Styela clava: one gene and its partners. The protein of the gene in region 1 interacts with the protein of each later gene in a biochemical or structural test. Links are inferred from orthologs where the notes say so. Each region holds a gene or a part of one and is shown on either strand. Other genes may lie near its edges.

Region 1 (10,493 bases):
TGTTCCCGGACGCAAAATTTGGGTCACGTGTAGTTTCATACCTAACGTACTTCTAGTGGGTGTAGCATAACAATTTTTTGATATGTCAATCCTACGCCATCCAAAAATTACGTCACTACGACATCACAATCACGTCATAGAGCTTGCCAAATATACGTACAGTCACCCGAAATGGCATTGGCGCCGACTATAAAGAACTGACTGACGTTATCGATCTCTCTCCTATTGGAATCGTTGCGACGAGAAAACGAGAGAAATAACTGTTCGATTTCGGGTGCTCGTTTACGCGTCTTGGATGGGCAACCCTAAAATGCGGGAAACGGGAAATGCACCAAAATGCGGGAACGACGGGAAATTGCCAAAACTAAAATGCAGGAACTACGGGAATAACGGGAACTACGGAAAATTTCACTAGAAAGCGGGAATTTCACAAGAAGCGGGAATGACGGGAAATCGCTTTAAGGTATAGGCCTCGAGCCTTGGCCATTTATCTTTCAGTTTCAGTCCTGTTTCTAGAAATAATATTGCCTTTGTTCAAATACCTAACCACGTAAACTGAAAAAAAGACTAATGCAGTGGCGGCGCGTCAATAGAGCCAACCGGGGCAATGCCCCGGTTGTTTTTTTGGTATAATAAAAAATATTCGAAAAATGATTCCGCGCGGCGGTATGGCTCAACGGGCTAAGCGTTAGGAATACGCTCGCCACCGCACCTCTAACTACTCTGCGTGGGTTCGCAGGTTCGAATCCCATGCAGGGATGGTTATGTGCGAGAGGATTGCTGGACTCCTCGCCGTCGTTGGGTGGTTCACGTAACCGCTGGTCGGTTACGGCTTCCTCCACCACCAAGTCCATGCTTCCGAAAACAAACAATACAGTAAATCTAATCCCATACCCGACTTGGAATGGTAACCGGACGAGAGGCCGTGGTTCGCCATATGGATAAGCCGTCTTATCGGCTTTCCTCTCCCCCGGGATAAATATGTAAATCCTATCCTATCCTAAAAATACCACAATATCGGTTGCACAGACTGTCTACACTAGCCATATTCTCCCGACATGGTTCATTTTTCGCTCGCAAAGCCTTCGCCGAACGTCGACGGGGCGACGCCGATTTTGCCCCGGTTGCTCATTGTATATCGTATTCTCTCTTTTATCTTCCACTCGCCGCGTTTGTCTCGTTTGTTTTCTGTTTCTTTTACTAAATCATCGGGGCTAGCCCCGAAATTATGACGACACAATGCCGACGTTTCTTACAACAACGTGTTGACATATTCACGCATTCCTTCTCGTTTGTTGGTTGCTTTAAGAGTTGATAGTTTCCTCGCCTTCGTTTTTGTCGCTTGTTTCGCTATTTGAATCAGTTAGAGACCTTTAGTCCATTTGCTTTCGATTTTCCACATTCCTTTTGAGCTCCTCATTTCTTTCCGGCTTCGCATTTCTTAGCCTCAGACCTCATAATGAATAAGGTTGATGCACTACTTCGCACTCCGTTTTCGCAGCTGCCGCTGGAACAAAAATTAGAGGTACAACGTCCTAGGCCTTATCAACCAAAAAATTGTTCACTGGAACAATCCCATGACGGAGGAACGCGTCGGCGTACATTCTGCGCAGAAACTTGGTATAAAAAACACGAATGGTTGTGTTACAGCGAGGACAAAAATGCACTTTTTTGTTTTTATTGCCTACTTTTTGCTACCGCCCGTGACTCACGTTGGTGTAAATTTGGTTTTAGAGATCTTAAACATCTTTCCGAGCGTGCCAGGGATCATCAATCTTCTATGGAGCATCTGGACAATGCAGTAAAATACCGAACATTCGGAAATGTTAATATTGCAGCACAGTTGGATGAAGGACGCGCGGTTTCTATTCGTCGGCACAACCAAAACGTCGAGAAAAACCGCCATGTTCTCCGTCGATTGATAGATGTTTTGAAGTTCATTTGTTGTCACGAGCTGTCCCTCCGTGGGCACGATGAACGGGCTGGCTCTTCTAATAGGGGTATTTTTGGATATGGTGGAAAACACCGCATCCCTAGATACAGTATTGAGAGATCATCTTGATGCCGCAACTGTTTCGAAAGGAACATCTGAGGATATCCAAAATGATTTGATCGACTCAATGTATAAAATTTATTTACAACATTTGGCTCTGGAAATTGAGAATTGCCAGTTCCTTTCGATTCAGTCTGACGAGACAACTGCTCAAACTTAAGACGGCGCGGCAGTCATGAGTGGGTCGAAACATGGTGTTCAAGTTTATATAAAAGAAGATTTTCCTCATGCGCATTTTTTACATTGTTATGCACACCAATTTAACCTCGTTATTAAAAATATGTGTCTTGATACCCCTCTCGTCCGTATATTTTTTGCAAATGTTTCGGGTTTTTTTCATTTTTTTCCCGTTTCGCCGAAGCGCTCTGACCTCCTTCGCCAGATATGTAGCCGCCGTCTCCCAGCTTGTGCACCAACACGTTAGAACTTCCAATCACGCGTGGTGCAGGGCGTGTCCGAAATTAGGTCTGAGCTCATTGAGTGTTTCAATGGCATTCAGAGCTCTCCGGTTTGGGACGAACGCTCTGTGAGGGAGGCGGCAGGTCTAAAGCGTCTGCTAGAAGATGGTGAGTTTTCATTTTTTCTCCACAATATTCTATCACGTGGATGTATTATACGGCGCATTGCAGTCAAGGCTAATGGATGGAGCGTCTGTGCAGTCGTGTATTTCATCTCGTATCCGGGAAACAATAAAATACGACGACACCTGGAGTGCTTCTTTACGCCGCGGGCAAACAACGCAGCGTTTGATTTTGTCTGCAAAAGAATGCTGTGACAATGACGGGGAAGTTCTTATCGTTAGTCGTCGGTTCTCATGTATGTGTTGTAAACTTATGGTTATTGAATTTCCGGGAACCTCTAATATTCAATTTCGCATCAGGATTGGGGAACAAGCTGAAGTTCATTTTCAAACAAAACTGAAGAATTTATTTATTTACCAGATGTGCGCTACAAACTCATTTCTGGACGTTTTCAAGACTTCGTCTCACGGCCCATATCCGTGGTAAGGAGCTACAAGTGTTTAATAACTTACTTATACATTTTTCAACAACGTCTCAGCATAACTTAACTAACAAGAGAGCTATTTTCAAATATATGGACACGTAGCGCTACCCAGTGGGAATAATTTTGATGACGATGAAAAAAAAGTAAGAGCCTTCTGGAGAAAATTATTGTCTTCAACCACTGAAAATTTCAAAACCATTGGTCCAGTATTCGAAGAGAAAAGCGATTTCTTCAAAACGTGTCAAAGAACAAGGACACAAAGAACAACAACAAAATAATATTGGAACGATCGCTATGTCCACTACGTGTCCAATAAAAACTAAACAGCGCTATGGAAAGGCTGCCCAACCCAACGCAAGGTCGAGCAGTAATAACTAATATTCACCCGCTCGCTAACAGCTGATTCGATTCGATTGTTACGTCATGCAGAAGTCATTGTTCATTGCCGAAAATGTAGAGAATATAGGACAGATCGTAGCACATATTTCTTGTAGTGAAAGCGTCTTTTCCGTAAAACGTGCAATTTTTGGAAGTGGGAACAAGGCAATATTTGTTACTAAATTTTTAAGGAACATTTTAAAATCATTTCCAGGTAGTTATACCTGATGTGCGCTACGAAACTTACTTTCTAGGCGTTTTTCAGGGCCTCGGCTCGCGGCCTAAATTGTGAAACCTTTGGAACTCCGCATTTGATGAAGCGCATTTCAGGGACAATTTCGCCATTCTGAGCACATTGATGACGACCACTCAAATATGACGCCATGATATGAGGATGAGTGAACTCCCTTCAATACCGTAGTGGCGTATATAAATTCGATCGATACTCGGGGAAGTCCAAATGTTATGTAGCTGAGCAATAGGCTATTGTTACACACTAAATATTGTATTTCATATGATTTTAATAATAGACACTCCAAGAGACTTAAAAAAGCCAAACGGAAATTCAGACGCCAAACGTGTTTGAAAAAAGCCAAAAATGCGGTTAAAAAAGCCAATATGGCAACCCTGCTACCGGCGGACTATTTTGATTAGAAGATTCCAAATTCCATTTATATTAGAGTAGACAATTCACGCACAAGAAAGTGAACACATCCTGTGATCGCAAAATGACCTATTTAGGCAATGTAACTGCGTTGAAAGCCTGAACGGAGAATTTTATTTTAAAAGGAGAGGATGCAAACGAAGTTGCGTTATGATCAGTTTTTATCCTTGTGCCATGGCCCCAATTGAGCTGCTTCGTGGCCCCTTTGAGGGCCTTCGGCCCCCGGTTGAGAACCACTGTTCTACAGCTTTTATAAACAAAGCGATGCAAGAAATAATGAACAATTAGCGTCATTTTCAGCTTCAAAAAGTAGAAGGACAGATGAGTTCAAAAAAGATTTTCATTTTAAACAAATGGCAGTTGATAAAACTAGGCAGAAGCATGAACCTCCCTTCTCTCTCTCAATTTTCAGGCATTTAATTTTTTGCCTCATTTCAGTATCAACCTTTTCCGTCGTTTCGGACTTTTGTGCACTGCTGATATTATATTACACCATAGGCTAGAGGTGAGCAAATTACGGCCCGCGGGCCGGAACCGGCCTACTGGAGTGTTTCATCCGGACCACTTGTGCCTGCTGAAATTATGAATATTGTTTTTATGGATATAAATTTCCGTTTAAAATATCGATGAAATAACGGATCGTCGGCTAAAGTAAATAACGTAAGTCCTCACGGATCATCAGTACTGAATATAATGTACAAAACCATCGATCCAAATTATTTATGTCATTCAGAAACTCTAGCTCCCGATATATCAGCATTTGGGCCTGCAAATTTTTTCGTGTTTTCCTAAATGCCGCGAAACGCATAACACAATGGGCAAAAAATCCATAGGGGAGGGAGGAGCGATTGCGCATACTCGGTGAGCAAAATAAATTTAAAATCGGTCATTGTTTTCTTCAGCATGACGTGGGTATTTAAAACGTGAAAATCGGCAAACTATATTCCGGTGAATTACATCTCGCAAGTATTCCGCACGACCTGTTGAGAATCTCTTTCTATCAACTTTCTCTGTGCAGCTGCCGTAATTTGCCAACCCCTTTAATGAAGTCCCATTAATTGATTTTGATCATATCGATATCATCATCGATCATATCGGCCCAGTAACCAAGTCTATTATCCGCATTCGGCCCACTCTGGAAAGTAATTGCCCACCCATGCCATAGGCCACTCCCTACCAAAGCGTATGCTCCCGACCAGACTTGATAGATAGATAGACTTGTTCCGCTTTTGCTGGCGACGTCACTTTGGACGACTGTTTCTTTGATTTCTTGGATTGGTAGGCTATATTTTCATCGAACAGGAATTTTACCCCCGTGTGAAAACAATGAAAAGTCAAATCTTTCAAATAAATAAATTACGCAGCCAACGGCAGAACTGTACAGGCAGACAGGTACGGTACAGTAACTTTCAATATCTCAGCGTATGCTTTGTAATCTAGTATTTTTTTTATCATGGTGCAGAGGCCATAAATATAGCTGAGTCTAACTACTGAATTAGACAAATTACTGAATTAAAACAATTTCTACTTAAGAAAGAAAGGAAAATAGAACTGTTTAAGTTGAGTTTCTGCGCATCCGGAGCGTCTTTAACCTTTATCAGTTTTATGGCAGTATGCTGGTATGGCTCAATACATAATACAGTACAGTAATAAGGTAAAAATTCAAGTGTAGCAGTCTCGATATTGAAATGTTAATAAACTGATTTAGAATATCAAACAAATAACATATTCTGTATTTTTTCAATCGTTATTAAACAAATACTGGAATATAAGCAACAAACAAGTAAAACATAAAAAATATTGACTATATCCAGATATCGGGCATTAGATTAACACATAATACAATGAAATACTGTTTTTATTCAAAATGACCAGGAGCGCCATATGTTTTATCGAAAGAATGATTTCTTTGCTATTTGAAAAGTGGGTTTCCTAATATGTTATTACATATACCTGTAGATACAAATACCAAAATGCTTTTATAATTTTTTACTATTGTTGACTGATATTTTGTACATTTGAAATCTAAATATTTGTGTTTACTCAAATAATGAAAACGGAAATGCATTGAAAACCATTCATTGCATAATTTACTGTGAAACTTATTGCTCGTTTTATTCTCTGACTCTTACTAATATGAATACCTAGTTAGAAATTCTATCTTCTGATCTTGGAATAAATTTTTATTTCAAATGTTATGGATGGATGTTTAACAGCTTATTGATTCAAGTTTTCGTGATAGAATATCATGATCAAACAAAGCAATTTTAGTTCTTAAAAACATTTCGTAAATAATATAAAAAAAATTGAAGGGTGGATTTTCAAATTTATTCTTCATGATATCATTGATTTCCAAATTCATTTAATGAACCAAGTCTAATTTCCTAACTAAAGAAATAAAATAGATGCTTCAAGCTCATTAAAATTGTTTTACAGTATTTAATAGCTCCTTTTGGTAATTATGGCTGACAAAATGGAAATTGATGACTCGTTATATAGCAGGCAACGCTATATGTTAGGTGATAATGCAATGAAGAGAATGGCATCAGCAAATGTACTTTTATTAGGATGTGATTGTCTTGGCGTAGAAGTTGCAAAAAATTTGGTTCTCACTGGAATAGGGAAATTGTATGTGGCCGATAGTTCACTTGTTACAAAACGGGATATCAGAAACAATTTTTATGTCAGTCAGTCGGATTTGCAAAATAAGAAAACGAGAGCAGAAGCTTGTGTGCCACGCCTTGCAGAACTTAATCCTTACGTCCAAGTCGAAGTTTCAACTTCGGATGTTCATATTGAAAATGCTGCATTGGGTGATGCTGATTCTCACAAAGAGTTTACAAAATTTCTCGAAAATATTGATTGCATAATCGCAACCCAACGTAGTCTGCCTCATCAAAAGTATCTCGATAAATTGAGTTGTAATTTGATGGGTCAGTTAAAATTTGTAAGTTGCAATGTTTATGGTGTATTTTCATCATTGTTCTGCAACTTTGGGAAAAATTTCGAGATTCTTGATTCGAGAGGAGAAACTTTGAAGGAAATGTTTGTGGGAGATATTACTAGAAACAGTGAAGGCACTGTAACGTGCTTAGAGGATCAGTTACATGGATTGGAAGATGGTGACAGTGTTTCTTTTTCTGAAGTTGAAGGAATGGTGGAACTAAATGGACAAACTCGAGAAGTACGGGTCGTGTCACCATATAAATTCACAATTGGGGATACAAGTGATTATTCACAGTACAAAGGTGGTGGTTTGGTAAAAGAAAAAACTAAAAAATCTACGATATCCCATCAATCTTTAGATGAACAACTCTTAAAGCCTGACATATTGTTGACGGATTTTGGGAAGATGGATAACCCTGCTATTTCCCATGCAGCTTTCTCAGCTCTTAACTCATTTGTAGAATCCAATGGTAATTTACCAAAGCTATGGAACAAAAATGATGCTGAAGCATTGTTTACATTATTCACCAATACAGTGAATCAGTTTCAAATTGATATTCCAAATGATGAAAATGCCAAGAAAGTTGTTCAATTACTTTCTTTTACTTGTAGAGGAGCATTATCGCCTCTCGCAACTGCGATTGGTGGTATTGCAGCACAAGAGGTTTTGAAGGCTTTAACTGGTAAATACACCCCATTAAAGCAATGGTTGTATTTAGATGCAACTGAGCTGGCTTTTAATCTTCATCTCACACCCGAACAAATGCAGGAATCAGATGATTTAAGTGATGTGAAAGCATGTTTGGGTGAAACAGTGGAAGCACGTTTAGCGAAGTTAAACATATTTATGGTTGGATGTGGAGCAATTGGCTGTGAAATGTTAAAAAACTTTGCTTTGTTGGGAGTTTCAACTGAAAATGGGAAAGCTGTGATTACAGACAATGACGTCATTGAAAAGTCAAACTTGAATCGTCAATTTCTATTTCATAGTCGCCATGTAGGACAATCCAAAAGCTCTGCAGCCTCTTTGTCAGTGAAGGAAATAAATCCTGACATAAAAATTGAGCCTTTGCAATACAAAGTTCAACCCGATTCAGAAAATGTATTTAATGATGCTTTTTTTGAAAGTCAGGATATCGTAGTCAACGCTTTGGATAATGTGGCAGCAAGAAGGTACATGGATACAAGATGTGTTGCAAATCAACGTCCTTTATTGGAATCTGGGACGATGGGACCGAAAGGTCATGTGCAAATCATAACCCCTTTTGTAACGGAAAGTTATGGATCACAGCAGGATCCAGCAGATGTTGAATTTCCTTTTTGTACGTTGAAATCATTCCCCTCAAACATTCAGCATACAATACAATGGGCGAGAGACAAATTTGAAGTCATGTTTAAACAAAAACCAATGACGTACAACAATTTTTGGGAAGGGTGTCAAGTACGTGAAAACGGAAACAAAGATAACATCATAGAATTGGTCAACAAGTATTTAATGTCAGGAAATAATTTAAGAGATGCCTCTGTCACCTTAAGACTTCTATCTGAAGCACCAACAACTTGGTTTGATTGTGTCGTTTATGCAAGACGAAAGTTTGAGAAGTTGTTTAATCACAAAGCAAAAGATTTATTAAAAGCCTTTCCATTGGATACTATGCTGCAGGATGGATCACCTTTCTGGTCATTACCTAAACGTCCACCTACCCCGATTATCTTCAATCTCGAAGACCCATTCCATATGCAGTTCGTCATTAGTACAGCATCATTAATTGCTGCTATATATCGTGTGCAACGTCCCATTAGTCAAGAAGAGATTGCCAAGAGCATTGCCGATGCTATTGAAAAAACAGTGGTGCCTGATTGGGTACCAAGTACAAAGGAAGTTGTAGTTGATGAAAAAGCCCCAGCACCAACTAAGACAGATGAAGATTCACCCGAAGATTTAAGTCAAAAGCTTATGCTTACTGCTAAAACACGTAGTGATTTCACTTTCAAGTTATACCCAGAAGATTTTGAAAAAGATGATGATTCGAACCACCATATTGATTTCATTTCTTCTGCTGCCAATCTAAGAGCTAAAATGTATGGCATTGAAAATGTGGATCGTCTTGAAATAAAGCGAATAGCAGGTCGAATCATACCTGCTATATCTACCACCACTACTGCCGTTTCAGGTTTTGCGACCATACAGTTTCTGCAATTGGTAATACAGCTCATTAATAATGAAAAAAATGGAACGAACTGGTCAAATTGTGCTTCAAATATTGAAACAGAATTGTCTAAATATCGTAATTGCTTTTTAAACCTTGCATTACCGCTTGTGTTATTCAGTGAACCAGCTGCTGCTCAAAAAACAAAATTAACTAAAGATCTCTCCTTCAGTGTTTGGGATCGATGGGAGATTCGTGGCAACAAGGATTTCAAACTAAAAGATTTCATACAGCATTTTCATGAGAAATATAATCTCACAATTTCAGCAGTTGTACATGGCTCAAGAATGATTTATATACCAATCATGCCTGGTCATTCAAAAAGATTGGATCACCTTATGACAAAGCTCATTAAAATTGGAGACAAAAATACACTGTATGTTGATCTGACGGCAACATTTGAAAATCCGAGTGATGATTCAGATGATTTGTCATGCCCACCGATTAGATACTATTTCTAATTTCCATTCTGTTGAGTGTTATTGCAATTTTTGTGTCCCACAATTCAAGCTATTCTATTCTGCACTATATATATATCGTATGATTTTCAAATGTTGTTTTTTAATAGTATAATTGTTTTAATATTATACTCGTCGATTAGTGTCATTGTTATATTATAGACTGTAAACACCAGTGATATTTAAAAGATTTAATTGACTTCTTTATAGTTTTTTCATACACACAGAAGTTTTGGTAATCCATGTAATTTTGCATAAAGAAAAATACTGATTTACAATATTTGATAATCGATATTAGTGACTTCAAAGAAGGATCAAAACCATGATTTTAAATTAGACTGCCGATTGCCTTTGGTGTATGTATTGGTGGTCAAAATTGATTTGCCTCATTTGAATATATACAAATTGGTCCAATATTTGTATGGTCAACTGTAGTGGTTTTTGAGAATGCAATATGAAAAAATTATCATTCCCAATAATACAAATGTTGATTGAATAACTCTTAGCTACTGAAAGATTGTGGATAAGTAGCCACCTTATTGTGAAATGAAACATATGCAAGTTCAAATAAACAGCCAAGCTCTATATGGATTTGGCTTGATGACATCACATCCTGGGATTAATGTGTGGTGAACTTTAGCAGATCCTATGATAAATCTGTTATTCATATAATTGTTCTTGCTGTCCAGTGTCTTCATTGCAGTTATTTGTGTTAATTTATACTTGCTGTCATGCAAATCGATCACTGTACTTGTGTTTATCATGGCTCGTATTAGATG
Region 2 (10,533 bases), on another chromosome or scaffold:
TTCCTTAGAAATTTAGTAACAAATATTGCCTTGTTCCCACTTCCAAAAGTTGCACGTTTTACGGAAAAGACGCTTTTACTACAAGAAATATGTGCTACGATCTGTCCTATATTCTCTACATTTTCGGCAATGAACAATGACTTCTGCATGACGTAACAATTGAATCGAATCAGCTGGTAGCGAGCGAATAAATATTAGTTATTACTGCTCGACCTTGCGTTGAGTTGGGCAGCCTTTCCATAGCCCTGTGCTGTTATTATTAGTTAAGTTATGCTAAGACGTTGTTGAAAAATGTATAAGTAAGTTATTAAACACTTGTAGATCCTTACCACGGATATGGGCCGTGAGACGAAGCCTTGAAAACGCCCAGAAAATAAGTTTCGTAGCGCGCACTTGGTAACTAAATAAATTCTTCAGTTTTGTGTGAAAATGAACATACTGGACGCATTACAGCTTGTTCCACAATCCTGATGCGAAATTGAATATAAGAGGTTCCCGGAAATTCAAAAACCATAAGTTTACAACACATACATAAGAAGTATGCAATTCGAGAGCCCTACAGCACACTAACACAAATGTATTCCTGTAATGTTTTGCCTGACCAAAATCGGACTTCCTCAGTCAATCATAATTTATTAGGTAGATTACGAAAAATATGGCATACATGTAACCAATGACATTAAACAACATGATGCGCAACTCCGGCATTTTTGGCCGAAGATCGTATTCGATAGCACGCTCCAATGCACATACTTGACGAGACGAAAACGAGCGGATGTGTGTTGCTTTCAAGGCATAGCACGAATGGTGTTCGAGCCTGCTTCGACAATTGTTGTGGTTTTTAATGATATGTGGAAAATTGAAGGTAAAAATAAATCGGAAAAAAGTAAGGTAAATACTATTGTTGTATAACACACCCGGGCATCGCACTGTTAAGTACATGCGGGAAAGCCAGCTTTTGTCAAATACTACGAAGTTTTAATTCAGTACGGTACTTAGTTGGCCATCTGCCGAAATTGCATATTTACTTACCCCTTATGGTTTCAAATAGTTCATGCACCTCCATTTAGATTTTTTTAATCAGTGAGGATATATACTTATTGCTGTAACATACTATTGCTCATTCACTTTTATTTGCGTATTGAATCAACGGGTTAACAAGTTCACCTAAAATTTCACTCATACCGGTCTATATTGTATAGTCTGATCTCTCAAGTATTTGGAGCCACGAATGCTTATAATTTTCTGACTAAACCCCTTTATTAGTTGGTTTATATACCAAATTCAGTAAAACATTTTTTACAAAAAACATAAGATATTGGATTTATTAGCTTTTCCATTCTGAATCATATAGACTGCTTTATTTATTCTTAACGAAAATTAATACATCTCCTCTCCTACAGATGTGAAAGCTGTGGACAGACCTGTCTAAGCATTGTGAGACTCCTGCAGCACAAGAGGCAATAGCAATAATAGTGAGTATATCAATCAAGAAATTAGGCCGACATAAAACAAAACTTTCAACTATTCGTCTAACCTCAATTTCCTATTATTTATTCACGGGACAACTGTAGCTGAAGGGGAGATATCAGAAGTCTGGCGACATATCAGTGACAGTTTGATTCCAAGAAATATGATTAGAATACTCCATAAATGTTTGCAATAGAAGAACAACCTATGGAGGAATGCAAAGACATTTGACCCGCCGGTAAAGTTGTGTATGGCCCCTACATCCTGCAGGGCTTGAGGGAAATAACTAAAAATTCCAAAGCGTAAGATTGCATAAGCGGTCTTTTTTGTAAAAAGGCACAAAATATGCCAGACATACTTAAAACAGCTTTGAAAAATGAGGATTACGGTTCACTGTCTACACCTGTGTTATATTTGATTCATCAAATTTTGGTAGTACTATAGAATAAATTCAGAAAAGGGTATAATCATGATTCATGATAAAATAATGTTATATATTTTGGACAACTTCAATCTAGACCAGGGATGTCAAACTCGCGGCCCCAGAGAACTTCCAGTGCGGCCCTCGAACGCTTAACAATAATTGTAATAGTATTTTGGAATTTTTTTTATTTAAATGTGAAAGATTTTCCAAACCTTTTAAAGTGAAATTGAATATTCACACAGAAAACAATTTACTGAAAGTAGTTTTAGAAAGTTAATTTTTTTTTGTTCACATTTTGACTCAATTAAGAATACACATCAAGCTAGCAAAAGAATACTGAATAAAACACTTGAGTGATTAAATTAAAGTACACGAAGAAGGTGGCATTTTCGAAGAAAATTTTCTGCATTTCACAAAATTCTGAAGCACATTGTTTAATTTGTCATATTTCCATCAGTACAATGAAAAACACAATAAGCTCAGCACTCAGCAGTCAATATGACAAATTCGAAGACCAACTCCGAACAGAAAATTTCCATGTGTTTGTATATTAATATAAGTATACAACGACTTAGTTACTAAAAATCAATATCAATAATAATTCAAGCAATCCTATGCCATGCAATGTAGCGTGAAATGTCTTGTCGAAAAAATCTGTCATTTGTTTTTTTACTGATCTATACATGAAATGATAAAAGTAACTTTTTTGCATTACTGGAATTAATTAAACTTTTGCAAAGATACAGATTAACCCATGATCATGTGACCTCGTTAATTAGAGTTGGTACTATAAAATCATTTCAGCCTGGCCTTAGTATGCTGGTGACACAAAGAAGATGCCAAACGTCAGGACAAATGTAATTAAAAAAACATTGAGTTTATACTGTAGTATTTTTGTTAATTTTAGGTTCATATATTTAGATTAAGTCATTTTTAGTGTATATATTATTCTTTCCTTAACCAAGGCTTGTTCAAAAATGATTTTGATGGTTGTACATGGAATTTTATGATTTTTTGTAATAAATACAGTAACTTGCAATAATAGTGGAATGCAAATTATAATATGTAATTGCATTTGAAATTAAAGAAAATAATAAAACTTAATCCAACTGATTAGTTGCATCACAATATATGTCACAAACTAAAACTATCTGAAAAATATCTCTCGAGTATACATTATCAAAAACTGTTTGCGGTCCTTTTTACAATTTCCAACATGCAATGCGGCTCTCGAAACCCATGTGTTTGACACCACTGATCTATTCTAGACGATTCAAGCATTGCTTTGGGAAATAATATCACTTCAATTAAATTGAAAAAAAATCTCGCTATATTAAATACAAAACCGTTGCTATCATAAAGGTAAACCAATTCAGCCACTCGGAATATATTGGCCTTCACAAAGCAATGGAGGCAGAATTGAGAGTTCATGAGCTATGAACTTTTGTTCTTTTCTTTGTCTTGAACTTTTCATACTCCACAGCCTCTATTAATTTTTTTTAATTTTAATTACCATGTGATGGTCATACATACTGTATCTTTGTATTTTCTGTCATGATGTATTATCTCAATGTGTCAAACTTTTAATTAGTGTGTACATTTTGCTTGCAGATGACATGAATGTATTGTCTTGCTTATTACCTCAGCTTGGAGTATTGACAAAGAAAAAAGTGCCCGTAAATTACGTAAAAAATGTTTAACTCTTTGATATAATCAGAATTCACATTTAATAGGAATTATAAACAGCCAACAATCAATGAGAATTATATGCAAAATTCCTCAGATTGAATTTGTCTTCTAAAATCGGAGGAAGGCAAAACATATAGGTAGTTTCCATTCACACAAGTCTTTCAAGAAGACTTGCTCGAGACAAACTAAATGAGCATCGTCAGGTGATTGGTAAGGCTGCAAGTTGAATCAGCCCTGCAATCTCCTGCATAGAAGATAATATTAATTAGCGGGCTATGAGCTAAATTCCTAAATTTAGACACAAACCTATCTACGAGGCATTGTGTACCAGTAATGTTACCTACGATTAATTGAATATGTAATATGTCTAATAAATTCACCTACTAAAACAAGTTCGATAGGTGCAAACTTTGTGTTATGGAATTGTATCACAGCACCTTTAAGAGAAGTAAAAACAGTTTTGCTGTTTTGTATGACACCCTCTTTAAATGAAATTTCAATGTTCAAGCGCAAACATTAAAATTACTAACTTTGAACTTTGTCATTATCTGCAAAATGTTTTACACAAATCTTTACGCTATCGCGTTTGTAATATTCTCTGATAAAAAAAACGTCTATGATGTTCAGAATTACTCTTTACAGCTTGTCTGCCATTCCAGCTTTCCGAATGAGCAAAACTTCTCAGATATAGAGATTATTTTCTTTCGTTACAGGCGCAAAAAGGCAGGTACTACACGTAAAAAAGACGCCGAGTAGCAAAAGCAAGCGGAAAACCGTCGCGAAAGGCGACGAGAAATATGTGCATTGGAGCGTATCATGAAATACAATCTTTCGCATGTAGTCTTATGGAGTGACGTCAGAGTTGCCTATCATGTTGTTTAATGTCATTGATGTAACCAACAACAAAAAAGACTTTAATTGTGTGACAGGAGTCGCGAGTGACCTCGAAAGCAACGACACCAACAACGCTGATTCACATTAGCGAATAAATTTTATGTAATAACCGCAAGCAGTTTACAACAAGAACAGCATAAAAAGCTACATCCATTTTATAGAAGCTATCAAACGTATTTATTTTTAGGGAATGAAGTCACAAATTAACATCGTGAGCACGAAAACACAAATAAATCAGTTATTTCTCACCTAGAAATTTACCGGAAAAGTCAAGAAAATTAAATGAATGTACATAACATGGTGAACAGAAATATTACAATTAGTCTTTTTTTAGTTTATGTGGTTATGTATTTGAACAAAGGCAATATTATTTCTAGAAACAGGACTACGACACTAACAAATGTCCAAAATAAATGATACTCATTAAATCAACTGCAATATCTAATTCACTTTCTTCTGAATTGTTTTCGAAATCCACTATCTCGAAAATCGACTTTTCCTCTATAAGTGTACTGTGATTTTTGCAGTCAATACAAAAACAAAAATCTGTGCAATTTAAGTTGATTTTGGCACACTTGCATAAATTATTTTGACTATTTTTCTTACACTTGCAGTTTGCCAACTCAAGAACTGATTTGAGGGCCACATGCTTCTTCAGTAAATCATTGTTGGGTGGAGAGTATAATCCTTATGTTTGCCAGTGTTAAATAGACGTGCTCTGGTATCATTTACATTCTCCATATCCTCTTCATACAGTGAACAAACAAATTCCTCAGCTTTATTTAATAATGCCTCGTTAACCTCATAAGACCTGCATAGTTGAGAAAAAAATGAATTGAAAACCTCAATGAAGTCTCCAACATGAGATTGATGGGCAATTCCAATTGCAGAAAAGTGCTAAAGTATTTCAATATGAATAGCCCATCTAAGCTGTTTGCAACTATTATGATTCTCATATACCTTTACGCTTCAAGACTTCTTGTTTAATCCATTTTATAGCACTGATAGCAGCCGGGATTAGAGCCTGCGTTAGGTCGGATTGGTGGAACATTGCCGTTTTCTTTTGTAGTACAGTATCTAAAATGAGGGAGGAAATCATATTTGGAACAGCATGAGTGTAAAAATACCACTAAATACTAACTAATACCTTGAATACATAATGCATTTTATCCGATGTCTCCAATGAGCGTATATATGCTCATTGCATGTAGCCTACTACAGTCCAGCAGTGTTTGAATACCATTACTAGACTATATCTACACTCAATTTTGATATATCACTGCTGAAATGCCCTATGACAGTAAGAGTATGGCCTATAGACTATATTTTGAAACATCAACTGTCTGTCTACAACTTGATTTCTCACCTCTCAATCGTTTCCAATGCTACTTTTTTTCCACTTGCTTCCCAGGTTCTTGTCGCCTCTATGAATTTAGATTTAGACCAACCGACATTAGTAAAATTGATTATTTTCTTCTTTTTCACACAACCGTGCATTACAGAAACAGCCATTAATTTTTATTTCCAAATATGCTGTGGCCTATATAGTAGTATAAGTCTGCTGAATAGTCAAGAAGAGTCATTAAATTAATCATAAACATTTCATGCAAGCCAGAAAATATCGTTGTTTGTGACATATTATTCTAGGTCTAGCCTTCATTGGAGTTACCGCACCGTACCTATTTAACAACGACTACCGACACCGTAACTATTTAACTCAACTAAAATTGCTATTTATGGTAAGGATATACAAGTGTTTGATATCTTACTTATACTTTTCAACACCTCCTTAGAATAACTGAACTAATAATAACTGAAAAAAACTATGGAAAGGCTACTCAACGCAAAAGCGAGCAGTAGTAGTACATCTGATATTCATTCGACCACTGGGGAACATTTTAAAATCATTTTCAGGTAGTTACCTTATGTGCGCTACGAAACTGAAAGATAAATGGCCTCGGCTCGCGGCCTATCACTTTTGATCCATTAAATTGCTGTATTATAACTCTTTTTTGAGACTTACTGTGAATCTGATTTTCATATCAGGTATTTTATGTATTTATTGCGTTATTTTTGTTTTGCTTATGTTTATTTGTTGTGTTGTTTTTATATGGACCACAGAGGGTGGACTTCCGGAGTTATAAACGAATTGAATTGAATGCCATGCATGTACATTAGTCACGTGACTGCCCTGTTTGTAAATGTAAACAAATTTATCGCGGCATGTCATCTTGGTTTGACCCCAAGCATTTCGCTGTTCTTCCTGTGTAGGTGATTGGGATTGTTCCTGAGCAATAGAGGTTGGTTACTTTTTCGTGAATTTGGAGGCTGATTTCGCTTGAGAAATCTAGCGTTTGGCACTGATACCGTACCGTATTTTGCGGTAAAGAAGAAGATTTTTCTTCACAAAACTTGAAATATGCAGAAGGCAGCGAGATTAAAAAGGGAATTGGAGATGTTGCAACAAAGTCCACCACCAGGAGTTTCGTGCAATCAGGATGAAACAAATAAAGATCTGTTGCATGCTCGTGAGTGAAGTCTAATCTCATATTTTAATATAATTTTTTATTTTACTTCAACCCAGTCTATTTATAAGTAAGTACAGAAGGGGTCTCATGTAGTTTCGTACCTAACGTACTTCTAGTGGGCGTAGCATAACAATTTTTTGATATGTCAATCCTAACCCCCATCTAATTACGCCGTCCAAAAATTAAATCACTACGACATCACAATCACGTCATAGAGCTTGCCAAATATGCGCACGATCGACCGAAATGGCATTGGCGCCGATGACAAAGAACTGACTGACGTTGTCGGTCTCTCTCCTATTGGAATCGTTGCGACCAGAAAACGAGAGAAATAACTGTTCGATTTCGGGTGCTCGTTTGCGCGTCTTGGATGGCAGTTCGTGTAGTTTGAAGGGCTCTATTACGTCACTGTGACGTCGTAATGACGTAATTTTTAGATGATGTAGTCAGGTGGGGGTTAGGATTGATACGTGAAAAAATTGTCATGCTACGCCCACTAGAAGTATGTTAGGTAAGAAACTACATGAGACCCGTACAGAAGTAGTCTATTAAACTTATACCGGTACTCGCAGTACATTTACCATTTTACTGCGAACAATTTTAATCAAGGTTTTGTTTGTTAAGCCTAATATCAAGAAGCCAGTAAACTGGGTAATGACAAAGCCATGCTTTCAGACATTCTGGCACAAGTACTGTGCAGTTAGCTATTCCCATACCACACTTCATCTGAATGAGCCACCGTCTGATTATAGTCTCCTCGAATTGACAATATAGATATCTTACTGTATCATTTTGTGTACACAACCTTACGCTTTTCATTAAGCTCTGCGTTTACGAGGATGAATATAAACTTTTTTTTTCTCTCTCATCATCTCTATGATTAAAAAAAACATGCATCTCTAGCTAGAATGGTAACTTATTTGTTAATCTAGACCAGGGGTTCTCAACCTTTTTTCGCTCAAGTACCCCTTGAGTCACGAAACAATCAACGCGAACCCCAGCAATCGGAACCGAACAAAGTTGTGATATACTGATATATTGTCTAACAATTTGTTGTAACACCAATTTATTGACCAGATGTAACTAAATTAAATCGTCTAGTTGATATTTTTGCCCTTATCGTCTGCCTAGCTAATGAATTCTTAAAATCTCTCTTTAAGTTTCAATAGGCATAATCACTTCTCCAATGCTCGCAGCACGCTGTCTTTAAAGATTTCACAGTTTGTACGCAAAGCCTTGAATTTCACATTGTTGCGTCACAATCACAACAACGCAAGGTCAGGGAAAATCTACGGTACGTTTCGATTGGCGTCTAGTTTCAATGGGCACGCATTTTCCAATGGTAGTAATAAAGGATATTAAAAAACAGCAACATACAAAAACTCGACTGTCATCCAAGTACCCCTGAAAATCTTCTCGTGAACCCCAGGTTGAGAACCCCTGATCTAGACTATATCAAATAACACACCATATCAAGTAGAAATATTGTTGTAACATGATCAAATTTGATTGAGATATTTTATATTCAGAAATCATTGGGAGTGAAGGGACGCCTTACTATGGTGGATTATTTCAATTACAAGTCACTGTCACCGATCGTTATCCATTCGAACCTCCAAAAGTAATTTTTCAAACTCCGATATATCATCCGAACATTGATAATGGAGGACGAATATGCCTTGACTCACTGAAAATGCCACCACAGGTAATATATGCAGAGGATGCTCATCCAACTTTTTAGTACAGAAATAAGCAATGCCACATTGTGTATAACCTATTTTGTAAGGTGTTTTTGAAAGGCAGGAAATTTGGATGGAAAGGTTTAAAATTTATGGTTTCAGTTTTAAAAATGGGTAGGCTACTATATATACTGAAAAATGTTGCATTGCCTTATGATTGTTGGAATTGTGAATATTTTTAACTTGTGCTTAACTTAATTCCTCTACATTTTAACAAATAAACAATATATTCTGTTTTCCCATATACACAAGTCATGAAGAGAGGCAATCAATATATCACAACCATATTTTTTTTTCGATATCAGAAGTAATATAGTTATTTCTAATTATTATATGGTCACCCTTTTTGCTTCATTTCACCCTTCTCTATCTAATTGATTAGCTTTTAATAATTTGTCAAGTCTCGCGCCCTACTCAAATATAACTAGCTAACAATGAGCTATAAATAACAAATAGTAAGGCGAAAGTATGTTTTATTCAAAATATACGTTGAAATATGTGTATGGAATCGCAATCTTCAAACAATAAAGAAATGTAAATATCCAAATCTAACAAATTTTTTATTTTTAATAAGTTTCATAAGCTAATAAGCTTGTGGTGCGCGCCCCATCATTCTAGTACCACTGTTCTAAATTGATATATTCTACTAGTTGATGTAACACAATATTTAAATGGCAAATTGGTAATTTCACAGGGATGTAGTAAGTTCAATTTTCTTTTTCTCAACTTGTAATTTAATTTCAGGGTGCATGGAAGCCATCACTCAACATCTCATCTCTTCTAATAACGATACAATTATTGATGGCAGAACCAAATCCTGATGATCCTCTGATGACAGACATAGTAAGTTTAATGTAAAAAGATTTTGAATTAGGTTCAGTATTGTTAATTCTTACTAAGAAACTATATTTAAAAATTTATGTATATTATATACAAATCACCGTGCTGAAATATAAATTGAAGTGTAATGCATTGGATAATTTTTGATTGAATATGATGATGGCAAGCAGAATAAAAAATTTGAAAGTGAAATTTTAGAAATGGTTATATTGAAATGACATCAGATTCAACTATTCAATCATATTTTAACAATCAATTTGCTTGAAAGAGGAAATATGACAAGATGGCTTGATCATATGCCATACCAAGGCCTCTGTGGCCTTTGCCTATGTCAGTGATTGTCAACCGTTTACTTCTTGTTGATAAATTTCACATGCAAGGATTGTACCGAGTCAGGGATTAAATGAGACATACTGACTGATGATACAATGTTTTACTTTTTTCTCCTGATTATTGTTAGACATAATCACGGGTTGCATTCACTTTGGAGATTAAATTTGTACCATAATGCCTAATCTATGGCGATTGCGTATGTCAGTAAAATTTAGGGGTGACGTAGCTCAATAACTAATATTGGTTTCCCGCAGTTCCTCTAACCCTAAAACTGTTTTTTCATAATTCATTGTAATGTGTATATCTAGTGTGCTTTCAGTATGGCGAAAAAATAAACTACGGTACTGATTACAGTAGTTTTACTCTATTGGGGTAAATTCCACAGTACAGGGTTCAAACTTGGGCAGTGGTAGATAAATTTTTTTTTTCAGTGATAAAACTGTTTTTAACTTATAAAAATGTGTTATGTATTTGACTATTCATCTGCATCAGCATATAACCCACTTTCTGAATATTCAGATACAATATTTTTTTCGTTAAGAATTGAAGCATGGTGTCACACCATAAAATTATGAAGGTGTTTGAAATTTTAGGTGGAGTTCCCTCCCCATAGGGG
Region 3 (10,370 bases), on another chromosome or scaffold:
ATACTGAACGAACGGGTGAAGGCGGCGCCGGCGTATGCAGCAACTTCGTATATAGTGATCACTTTTTCTGGATGAATAGTTAACCAGGAATCACATTGAGATGCGTATTCTCTTTTAAAAGGACCAAATACGCTAACGTCCAGAGGTTGAAGCTTGTGGCTGCAGTGCGGTGGAAACGTGAGAATATGCAATCCATGACTGCGTGACATATCAATAACTTCCAGCGATATGTGGCTGGTATGATTATCCATTAGAAGAATTGCGGGATTCGACTTCGAAACTTTCATCAACCGAATGAAATGTGCGAGAACCTCTGGGAAAATTTCTGTTGTCATCCACCCTGACCGGCAAGCAAGACCAAGACTCCCAGGTGGGGCATCTCTAAGCATTCTGTCATGGGAATGGACGCGAGGAAAGACAAATGACGGTGGCAATGCGTTTCCTATGGCGTTCACGCATGCGCACATTGTGACAGTGACGCCGCGTTCCACTGATGTTATGCGTCCGACCTGTTTTTTTCCTTTTTCTGCGAGAACTTGCGTGGTTTTAACTACAGTGTTAATGCCTGTTTCGTCCAGATTCCAAATATTTTGTGGTAAAATCGGTCCTTGTTTCATGTACAATTCTTTTAAGTTATCGAAAAAATTTCCAACGTTGTGCTTGTTGAAAGCCATTGCTCTAGCCTTGCTTGTTGGCTCTGGCTGGCGAAGGCTCAAGTTCCCTGTTCTCTTCCGAAATCCTTTAAGCCAATCCTCACCTGCACAACCGTTCCTGCTCCAACTGCTAGGAATATTTTTTCCTTTCTTCAACGCATACGCATATGCCATTCGCTTAGCCTCAAATTTTGTTAAACCATGCAGCATTTTGGCTGATTGAATCAGATATTCTGCTAAAGCTTCCTCTTCATCTTTCGTAAAAACCTGAAATGAGTTCAAACAATTGTACTAAATCCTCTCATACATAAATACAACTCACATCCATCTTTCTACAAAATTTACACACCTGTTTTGTAACCATGGACCTTTTTAAAATATCTGTGCAACCTTGACGTCTTGCCACATCTACATATCTACCAAGAGTCGTATGGTAAAGGTTGTATTCTCTGGCAATTTTTCTCACACTGCCCTCATTGGCAATAACTTTTTTAACGGCTTCGCTTAGAACTTCTCTCGTGTACTTTCCTTTCAAACCTTTACTAATTTTAAAAGTGGGCATTTTGCAGTTATATTGCTGCTGAAAGATATAATTTGTTGGGGAGGACCAATGAGACAGCGTTTTATAGGTCCCGTCGCATGCTGTCTCACTGGTCCCAAACCCGCCATTTTTTTCTGTGGTAAAACTAACACAGCATTTGCTTACCAATACAACCGGAAAATGTAGGTAAAACATCGACCTCTAAAACCTATTTACTGTTACCCTCTCAGTCTTGTTGTAAGTATCTAAAAATATTGGTTGAACGCTTGCCCGGGATTTTTTTCGCTATCTAAAAACACATTTACCACCGTTACTCAAGAACGAAAAAGGCTACCGACACTACAACTGGAAAACGCGGCAGACGACTCAACCTCGATGCCATGGCGGAATTGAAATTAGAATTCGACCACTAGGTGTCGAGAAATGGCGTTGTTGCATCGGTCCCCTTGCATCGCAGGTCCCACATCTCCCCTACATTGCGACTCACTCATTTTCAGTTGCTAGCGAAATTCAGGGAATTTTTTTTTTTTTTTTGAATTTAGTGTGTGTATTCATTTTTGCACAACACATTTCCCCTCAGCTATCAGCCGCTTGCCGCCTTCTGCGATTGTCGTCCTCCCACTCACCACGATCTTCGCTTTGCCCAGCCTAGGCGGCCAACGCTACCGTTCGTAGTTTTTAGTCGTTATTTTGGTCGTTCTTTCTTTTTTCCATGTGTGCCTTTTCAATTTATTATGCATTAATCTATTATAACATGTATTTGTTAGAGGTTTTAACATTTATTTATATTTTATACAAATATGATTTCCGATTTTTTTGATGGGTGGGGGGGGGGGGGGGAGGGGGCGAACGAATTGAGGCATCTATAGGGTATTATGCATTCCTACTTACGAATTATTTTGATCACGAAACTACTTCCAGGACGAACCAATTTGTAAGTGGAGTTTCTACTACTTTGATTCCCTACGAATCCATCGAGATTTTCTCTAATGTCATCAAACTTCAAGTCAGGTAGGTGTATATATTTACGCTTTAACTAGATTTTAATACATTCAGACGGAAATTCAGGAAAGTAAATCCAATAGAGAGAGTAAGTCAAAGGAGAAATGTTTAAATAAAAAATATGAATGGACTCGAGAGAGAAATGAGCAGCGCCTTACGCACAGTCGGGATTGCTCGCAACGAGACGTTTCAGCTACCAACCTCTATCCGGCTCGGCGGAATGACGCATCGTGCTAAGCGTTAGGAATACGCTCGCCACCGCATCTCTGATTAGGCTACCCTTCCGGAGATCGCAGGTTCGAATTCCATGCGGGGATGATCATGCGCGAGAGGATTGCTGGACTCCTCGCCGCCGTAGGGTGGTTCACGTAACCGCTGGTCGTTTACGGCTTCCTCCACCATCAAGTTCATGCTTCCGAAAACAAATAACTGGCTAACTAATCCCATACCGGACCTGGACTGGTAACCGGACGAGAGGCCGTGGTTTGCCATATGATTAAGCCGTCTTATCGGCTTTCCTCTGCCACGGGATAAATATGTAAATCCTATCCTAAATTCATCAAAAAAAAAAATCTAGTGATGCCATAATCCGCATTTAAAGTGCTACCTGACAACATGTTGTTATGTCATTATGGTTATGCAATATCTCTAGTCCGTGACTCATCCCAAATTGCGCACTGAGCCCCATTCGAACTGTTTCCTACCCCTCTTCTGTCAGTGTCACCAATGACATTAAACAACATGATAGGCAACTCTGACGTCACTCCATAAGACTACAGGCAAAACATTGTATTTCATGATACGCTCCAATGCACATATTTCTCGTCGCCTTTCGCGTCCGTTTTCCGCTCGCTTTTGCTACTCGGCGTCTTTTTTACGTGTAGTACCTGCCTTTTTGCGCCTGTAACGAAACAAAATAATCTCTATATCTAAGAAGTTTTGCTTACTTGGAAAGCTGGAATAACAGGCAAGCTGTAAAGAGCAATTCTGGACATCATAGACTTTTTTTTTTTATCAGAGAAGATTACAAACGCGATAGCGGAAAGATTTGTGTGGAACATTTTGCAGATAATGACAAAGTTCAAAGTTAGTAATTTTAATGTTTGCGCTTAATCATTGAAATTTCATTTAAAGAGGGTGTCATACAAAACTGTGCTGCGATACAATTCCATAACACAAAGTTTGCACCTATCGAACTTGCTTTTGTAGGTGAATTTATTAGACATATTACATATTCAGTTAATCGTAGGTAACATTGCTGGTACATAATGCATCTTAGATAGGTTTGTTTAAATTTAGGAATTTAGCTCATAGCCCACTAATTAATATTATCTTCTATGCAGGAGGTTGCAGGGCTGAATTCAACTTGCAGCCTTACCGATCACCTGACGATGCTCATTTAGTTTGGCTCGAGCAAGTCTTCTTGAAATGCTTGTGTGAATGGAAACTACCTATATTTTTTGCCTTCCTCCGATTTTAGACAAATTTATTCTGAGGGATTTCGCATATAATTCTCACTGATTGTTGGCTGTTTATAATTCCTATTGATTGTGAATTCTGATTATAACAATGAGTTGAAAATTTTTTTACCTAATTTACTGGCACCTTTTTCTTGTCAATACTCCAAGCTGAGGTAATAAACATGACAATACATTTATGTCATCTGGAAGCAAAATATGCACACAAATTAATAGTTTGGCACATTGAGATAATACATCATGACAGAAAATACAAGTTAAAGATATGTATGACCATCACATGGTAATTAAAATTAAAAAAAATTAATAGGGGCTGTGGAGTATGGAAAGTTCAAGACAAAGAAAAGAACAAATGTTCATAGAACATAGCTCATATATTGTGATGCAACTAAACAGTTGGATTAAGTTTTATTATTTTCTTCAATTTCAAATGCAATTACATATTAATATTTGCATTCCACTATTATTGCAACATTTGCAAGTTACAGTATTTATTATAAAAAATTGTAAAATTCTATGTACAACCATCAAAATCATTTTTGAACAAGCTTTGAATAAGTAAAGAATAATACATACACTAAAAATAACTTAATCTAAATATATGAACCTAAAATTAACAAAAATACTACAGTATAAACTCAATGTTTTAATAATTACATTCGTCCTGGCGTTTGGCATCTTTTTTGTGTCACCAGCATACTAAGGCCAGTCTGAAATGATTTTATAGTACCAACTCTAACTAACGAGGCCACATGATCATGGGTTTATCTGGTTCTTTACGAATGTTTAATTAATTCCAGTAATGCAAAAAAGTTACTTTTATCATTTCATGTATAGATCAGTAAAAAAACAAATGACAGATTTTTTCGACAAGACATTTCGCACTACCTTGCGTGGCATAGGATTGCTTGAATTATTATTGATATTGATTTTTAGTAACTAAGTCGTTGTATAATTATATTAATATACAAACACATGGAAATTTTCTGTTCGAAGTTGGTCTTCGAATTTGTCATATTGACTGCTGAGCTTATTGTGTTTTTTGATTGTATTGATGGAAATATGACAAATTAAACAATGTGCTTCAGAATTTTGTGAAGAGCAGAAATGTTACAACTCCCATTTTCTTCGAAAATGCCACCTTCTTCGTGTACTTTGCGTTTAATTTAATTACTCAAGTGTTTTATTCAAGTATTCTTTTGCTAGCTTGATGTGTATTCTTAATTGGGTCAAAATGTGGACAAAAAAAATTAATATTCCAAAACTACTTTCAGTAAATTGTTTTCTGTGTGAATAATCAATTTCACTTTAGAAGGTTTGAAAAATCTATTACATTTAGATAAAAAAAAAACTTCCAAAATACTATTACAATTATTGTTAAGCGTTCGAGGGCCGCACTGGAAGTTCTCTGGGGCCGCGAGTTTGAGATCCCTGGTCTAGATTGAAGTTGTTCAAAAAATATATGATAGTATTTTATCATGAATGATGATTATACCCCTTCCGGAATTTCTTCTATAGTACTACCAAAAGTTGATGAACCAAATATAACACAGGTGCAGTGAGGTACCCGTAATCCTCATTTCCAAAGCTGTTTTAAGTATGTCTGGCGTGTTTTGTGCCTTTTTACAAATAAGACCGCTTATGCAATCTTACGCTTTGGAATTTTTAGTTATTTTCCTCAAGCCCTGCAGGATGTGGGGGCCATACACAACTCTACCGGAGGGTCAAATGTCTTTGGATGCCTCCATAGGTTGTTTTTCTATTGCAATTTTCAATTGCATTATATTTCTTGGAATCACACTGTCACTGATATGTCGCCAGACTTCTGATATCTCCCCGTCTGCTATAGTTGTCCTGTGAATAAATAATAGGAAATTGAGATTAGACGAATAGTTGAAAGTTTTGCTTTATGTCGGCTTAATTTCTTGATTGATATACTTACTATTTCTGCTATTGCCTCTTGTGCTGCAAGAGTCTCACAATGCTTAGACAGGTTTGTCCACAACTTTCACATCTGAAGAAAGAGAGGAGATTTATTAATTTTTGTTAAGAATAAATAAAGCAGTCTATATGATTCAGAATGGAAAAGCTAATAAATCCAATATCTCATGTTTTATTTAAAAAATATTTTACTGAATTTTGGAAAATAAACCAACTAATAAAAGGGTTTAGTCAGAAAATTACAAGCATTCGTGGCTCCAAATACTTGAGAAATCAGACTATACAATATAGACCGGTATGAGTGAAATGTTAGGTGAACTTGTTAACACTTTGATTCAATACGCAAATAAAAGTGAATGCGTAATAGTATGTTACAATGAGCAGCAATCAACAATGAGTATATATCCTCACTGATTAAAAAAATCTAACTGGAGGTGCATGAACTATTTGAAACCATAAGGAGTAAGTAAATATGTAATTTCGGCAAATGGGCAACTACGTACCGTACTGAATTAATAACTTCGTAGTATTTGACAAAGGCTGGCTTTCCCACATGTACTTAACAGTGCGATGCCCGGGTGTGATATACAACAATAGTATTCACCTTACCTTTTACCGATTTCTTTTTACCTTACTTTCAAAAATATCATTAAAATCGACAACAACTGTCAAAGCAGGCACGAACACCATTCGTGCTACGCCTTGAAAGCAGCACACATCCGCTCGTTTTCGTCTCGACAAGTATGTGCATTGGAGCGTGCTATCGAATACGATCTTCGGACAAAAATGCCGGAGTTGCGCATCATGTTGTTATATGTCATTGGTGTCACTGAGGTGTCACATTTTAGGCACCGCGTCGTATAGCTTCCCGTCAAATTTATACAGTGCCTGCACCTCCACTCCGTCACTTCAGTACCGATACTGGTACGCGTGCTACGCCTTTATTTCTTGATCTACAGATCTATCGATTGCAGTTTCAGTGAGTTGGGATAGGATACTCGTAGACTACTCAAGTTTTAATTATTTAGTGTTCTGAACAAGATATTTTTTCGAAGATAAGGGTCACACTAAAATTTCAAGATGGCAGCAAAACGACTTATGGCTGAATACAAACGTAAGTTTTGAAGTAACTCCAATCTCATATTTAGTACCGGTAGCGGTACGGTACCGGTACCATATCGGTACTGGTACGTTATTGCACAAATACGGTACTGTATGTACTGCCGCATATGCTTCTCAACCTGAGTACATGGCTTGGAGAGGCGTCAACTTTGCATTATTATAGTAATATCATCCCAGTTTCCATTAAGTTAGATGTTAAATCACTGTACCTATAGTGACAAAATTGGTGAAATTCAATAGATGAATATTGAATGATTTTTTATTTTGAACTGCATTGCGGTGCCAGTAAATACGTACGGCCATACCGGTACCCGGAACCGGTCCATTTGTTGAAATTGTGCAGATTCTGACATTACAGCATTATACGACAAAAAAAACCGATATCCCGATCCATGTTTGTGCATAGACTGTTACAGTGTTATGAAACATGCAATCTATTTACAGAGCTAATTTTTTTTCAGTAACAATTTTTTGTCACTGTGTTATTTTTGCAATGGAATTGAACTACAGCATCACCATTTTACGTCAACGAGTGTTGTATATTCCATATTTTTGTAGGAAAAGCACTGTTGTGATACACATACCATAGCCTTGCATTCCATCCTATCAAAGTGTATTTATCAAAGTGTATTTATTAATTGGGACCCACCGAGTGTTTATGTTATGTTTGAAACCCGAACGATACCCATTCGTGTCTTATCATTTTTATTTTGCATATATGTTTGTGTGTTGAATGTGAGTAAACTGGCGCATGTATATTTACATGTATTGAACCTTTATAAAGGTTTTGCCAGTTTCCCCGATTTTCCCGATCTTCTGTGTGTTCATTGTTTGTGTTTTGTGTATGATTTTTTTTGGCGGGGAAATCAAAATATACTTACTTATACATTCTTGCTTTGAAATATATTTGAAAGTTTATACTTTCATGTATGCATATATACATTTTTAGAGTTGGCGACACAAGCACCGGAAGGAATTGTTGCTGGGCCAAAGGAAGAAAGCAACTATTTTGAATGGGATGCTTGTATAATGTACGTATACATTTTTATATTCAGTCTGTTCAGTACTTTGGTTAGCGTATAAAATACTATGCTTCAAAATACTTTTATTCTTGTAGCAGGAACATCCCAACTAAGAGAAAGTTATTGAAACTTTAACCCATAGTTTTAAAACATAGGTTCAGCTTAAGTATTTCTCGAAGTCAAAGTATGTTTTTTTATGAACATACAGAAACTAATATACTCAAAATTACTCTTGTTATTTATTCTTAGATTTTCTGATAACTTAATTCTCTAAATTGGTTGAATATCTCATTAGAAATCTCCATTTATGCCATGATCTCAAATCATACATCATGTGAAAACAAATACATTCTATATAAATTGAAAATTTCGACTTCACTAAATCACTTGATATGAATTTATCTTAGATTCCTAAATGGACAAACCAAAATGAAAGTTGTATATATTTATTGCCAATTTGAATTTGACTGAACTTGTAATCCCAATTTAAATGTTCAAAAAATTGTATTCAGTCCAACAATTTTTTGTTTAGCCAACTTCGCCATAAATAGAAATGCAACATAACTTTCTGTATTTATTCTTTGAGCCCTTCATTTTTGGTTTTTGACTGATTTTGCCATGTTTGGAAGCGACTGCCCATATCTCCGGAAGACTTCTTCTTAGAGTACACTTCTTGAAAAAGCGCAACATGGCATAATCGGTCTGACAATTTTCCTAATGCAGAACAATGCAATGAAACCAACTCATTGCTAACACTTCAGCTACGAGTTAAAATAATACCACCAGAGTATGACTAAGCTTTATTTTTTTTATAGGGGACCAATAGGCACACCATTCGAAGGTGGAGTTTTTTCAGCTGTGATGACTTTTCCATCAGATTATCCTCTTAGTCCTCCTACAATGCGATTTACATGTGATATGTTTCATCCAAACAGTAAGATTTTGATATATCAGTTTAATAATCATTAAGTGCAATTTATATATATTTAATTCACTTTCTCAATTTAGACATCCAGATTACCTTATTATGAATAACATAACACTATGAATTTTACAGCAAGGCTACACATGCAAATGTTATATAGCAGAGAATGGTTGGTATTCTATTGATCATAAAACTTAGTTACCTCTGGATCTGGTAATTGTGTAGTGGTGTAGTCCTTTTGCATCTATACATATTTTGGTCCTTTGAAAATTATTTTGTATGATGAAATCAATTTTTTGTGTGATAGAACTAGGGCTGTGAGCTTGATTCGGAGCCTGTAGCTTGGGGCTTTGACATTTTGGTCGGGCTGGAGCCAAGCTAACATGTTAGATGGAGCTGGAGCTACCAGAAATGGATTTAGTGGATACCAGCTCCTAACGATCTAATTATTTTGAACGTTCATAATTTTCTGATACAAATAATAAAAACTATCCTTTTCAGCTCTTGAATTGTTATAAATTTCAACGTACAATATTGATTTGAGAGTTTCAAGTTGTCAATTTATATATTTAACACTTTGATTTTGAAACCCGTATATCATAGTTTTGAGTCCAGCTTCCACGAAACTGCATTGTGGCAAATATTTCATGATAGTGGTCACACTGGTTAAAAACCTCATTAGGTATGGAGTCGAAGCCCGGCTGAGATTATAAAAACAAAACTGCAGAGCGGAGCAACTGTGATTTTATTCCAGCTATCCAGCCGTGTACAAAACTAGAAGTTTTTTTAAATCACGTCATAATTTGTTTGTTAATAATTGGAAGCTGAAATATCTTCTTAATCTTTTCAATTCCAACAGTATATCCAGATGGAAGAGTTTGCATTTCAATATTGCACGCCCCTGGTGACGACCCGATGGGATATGAATCAAGTGCTGAAAGATGGTCGCCTGTTCAAAGTGTTGAAAAAATTTTGCTCTCTGTAATAAGCATGCTTGCTGGTGAGTTGTTCAAATCAATTTTTCAAAACACTATCTCCATGTAAACTATCCTATTCACATACACAGATTTCTAATCAGAACTCTATCGGGGATAAAATGGAGCCCTAAGTTTTAAACATGCTTGTTTGTTGTTTTTCTCATTGGTATTTCAGCTTATATGGAATTATTTACCTGCATTTTCTGTGAACTGCACAAAATCTTGTATACCTTAGCTTAAAAAATTATTAAAGAGAGGCGCAATTTTATACTAAACTTATTCCAATGGTTCTGTAGCGCTAATAAAAACTTGCATTCGTTTCATAACATTCTACCACGTATTTCTTAAAATTGTCAAGTGGTAAATGCTCGGTTTTAAATATATCTTATTGGCACACAGAACCCAATCCTGAATCTGGCGCAAATGTTGATGCTTCGAAAATGTGGAGAGATAATAGAGAATTATTCAATAAAAAAGCGAAGAACCTTGTAAGGAAATCTTTGGGTCTTTAATTAAAAAACCTATCATTTGTACAATATTGATCTTTGAACATTGTCAATACTTATTCATGGATCATGATGAATTGTGGATATAACAAAGATGTACAGAAGAATTCAGTTCCAGTTCAAGATTGTTGTTACACATTTCAAAAGGCTACAAGTCGGCGCTAATGATAATCAACTTCTGACTCTATTTATTGCGATGTTGC

What was found. The genes of interacting proteins can lie anywhere in the genome.
Region 2: the proteins of ubiquitin-like modifier-activating enzyme 6 (region 1) and ubiquitin-conjugating enzyme E2 T-like form a complex in vitro, tested with the Homo sapiens proteins (2 studies listed by BioGRID, with this or other methods). The link is inferred for Styela clava from reciprocal best matches to the Homo sapiens genes UBA6 and UBE2T.
Region 3: the proteins of ubiquitin-like modifier-activating enzyme 6 (region 1) and ubiquitin-conjugating enzyme E2 G2-like form a complex in vitro, tested with the Homo sapiens proteins (2 studies listed by BioGRID, with this or other methods). The link is inferred for Styela clava from reciprocal best matches to the Homo sapiens genes UBA6 and UBE2G2.

Annotation. Positions count from the first base shown.
Region 1 is NC_135254.1:14,428,727-14,439,219, reverse strand, and holds the start of ubiquitin-like modifier-activating enzyme 6, read left to right. Parts: upstream 1-6,511; 5' UTR 6,512-6,561; coding exon 6,562-9,717; 3' UTR 9,718-10,493. UniProt on the Homo sapiens protein: Activates ubiquitin by first adenylating its C-terminal glycine residue with ATP, and thereafter linking this residue to the side chain of a cysteine residue in E1, yielding a ubiquitin-E1 thioester and free AMP.
Region 2 is NC_135256.1:5,895,417-5,905,949, forward strand, and holds the start of ubiquitin-conjugating enzyme E2 T-like, read left to right. Parts: upstream 1-6,634; 5' UTR 6,635-6,896; coding exon 6,897-7,005; intron 7,006-8,534; coding exon 8,535-8,710; intron 8,711-9,488; coding exon 9,489-9,587; intron 9,588-10,533. UniProt on the Homo sapiens protein: Accepts ubiquitin from the E1 complex and catalyzes its covalent attachment to other proteins. Catalyzes monoubiquitination. Involved in mitomycin-C (MMC)-induced DNA repair.
Region 3 is NC_135261.1:20,876,433-20,886,802, forward strand, and holds the start of ubiquitin-conjugating enzyme E2 G2-like, read left to right. Parts: upstream 1-6,471; 5' UTR 6,472-6,695; coding exon 6,696-6,729; intron 6,730-7,686; coding exon 7,687-7,768; intron 7,769-8,574; coding exon 8,575-8,693; intron 8,694-9,543; coding exon 9,544-9,684; intron 9,685-10,060; coding exon 10,061-10,173; 3' UTR 10,174-10,370. UniProt on the Homo sapiens protein: Accepts ubiquitin from the E1 complex and catalyzes its covalent attachment to other proteins. In vitro catalyzes 'Lys-48'-linked polyubiquitination. Involved in endoplasmic reticulum-associated degradation (ERAD).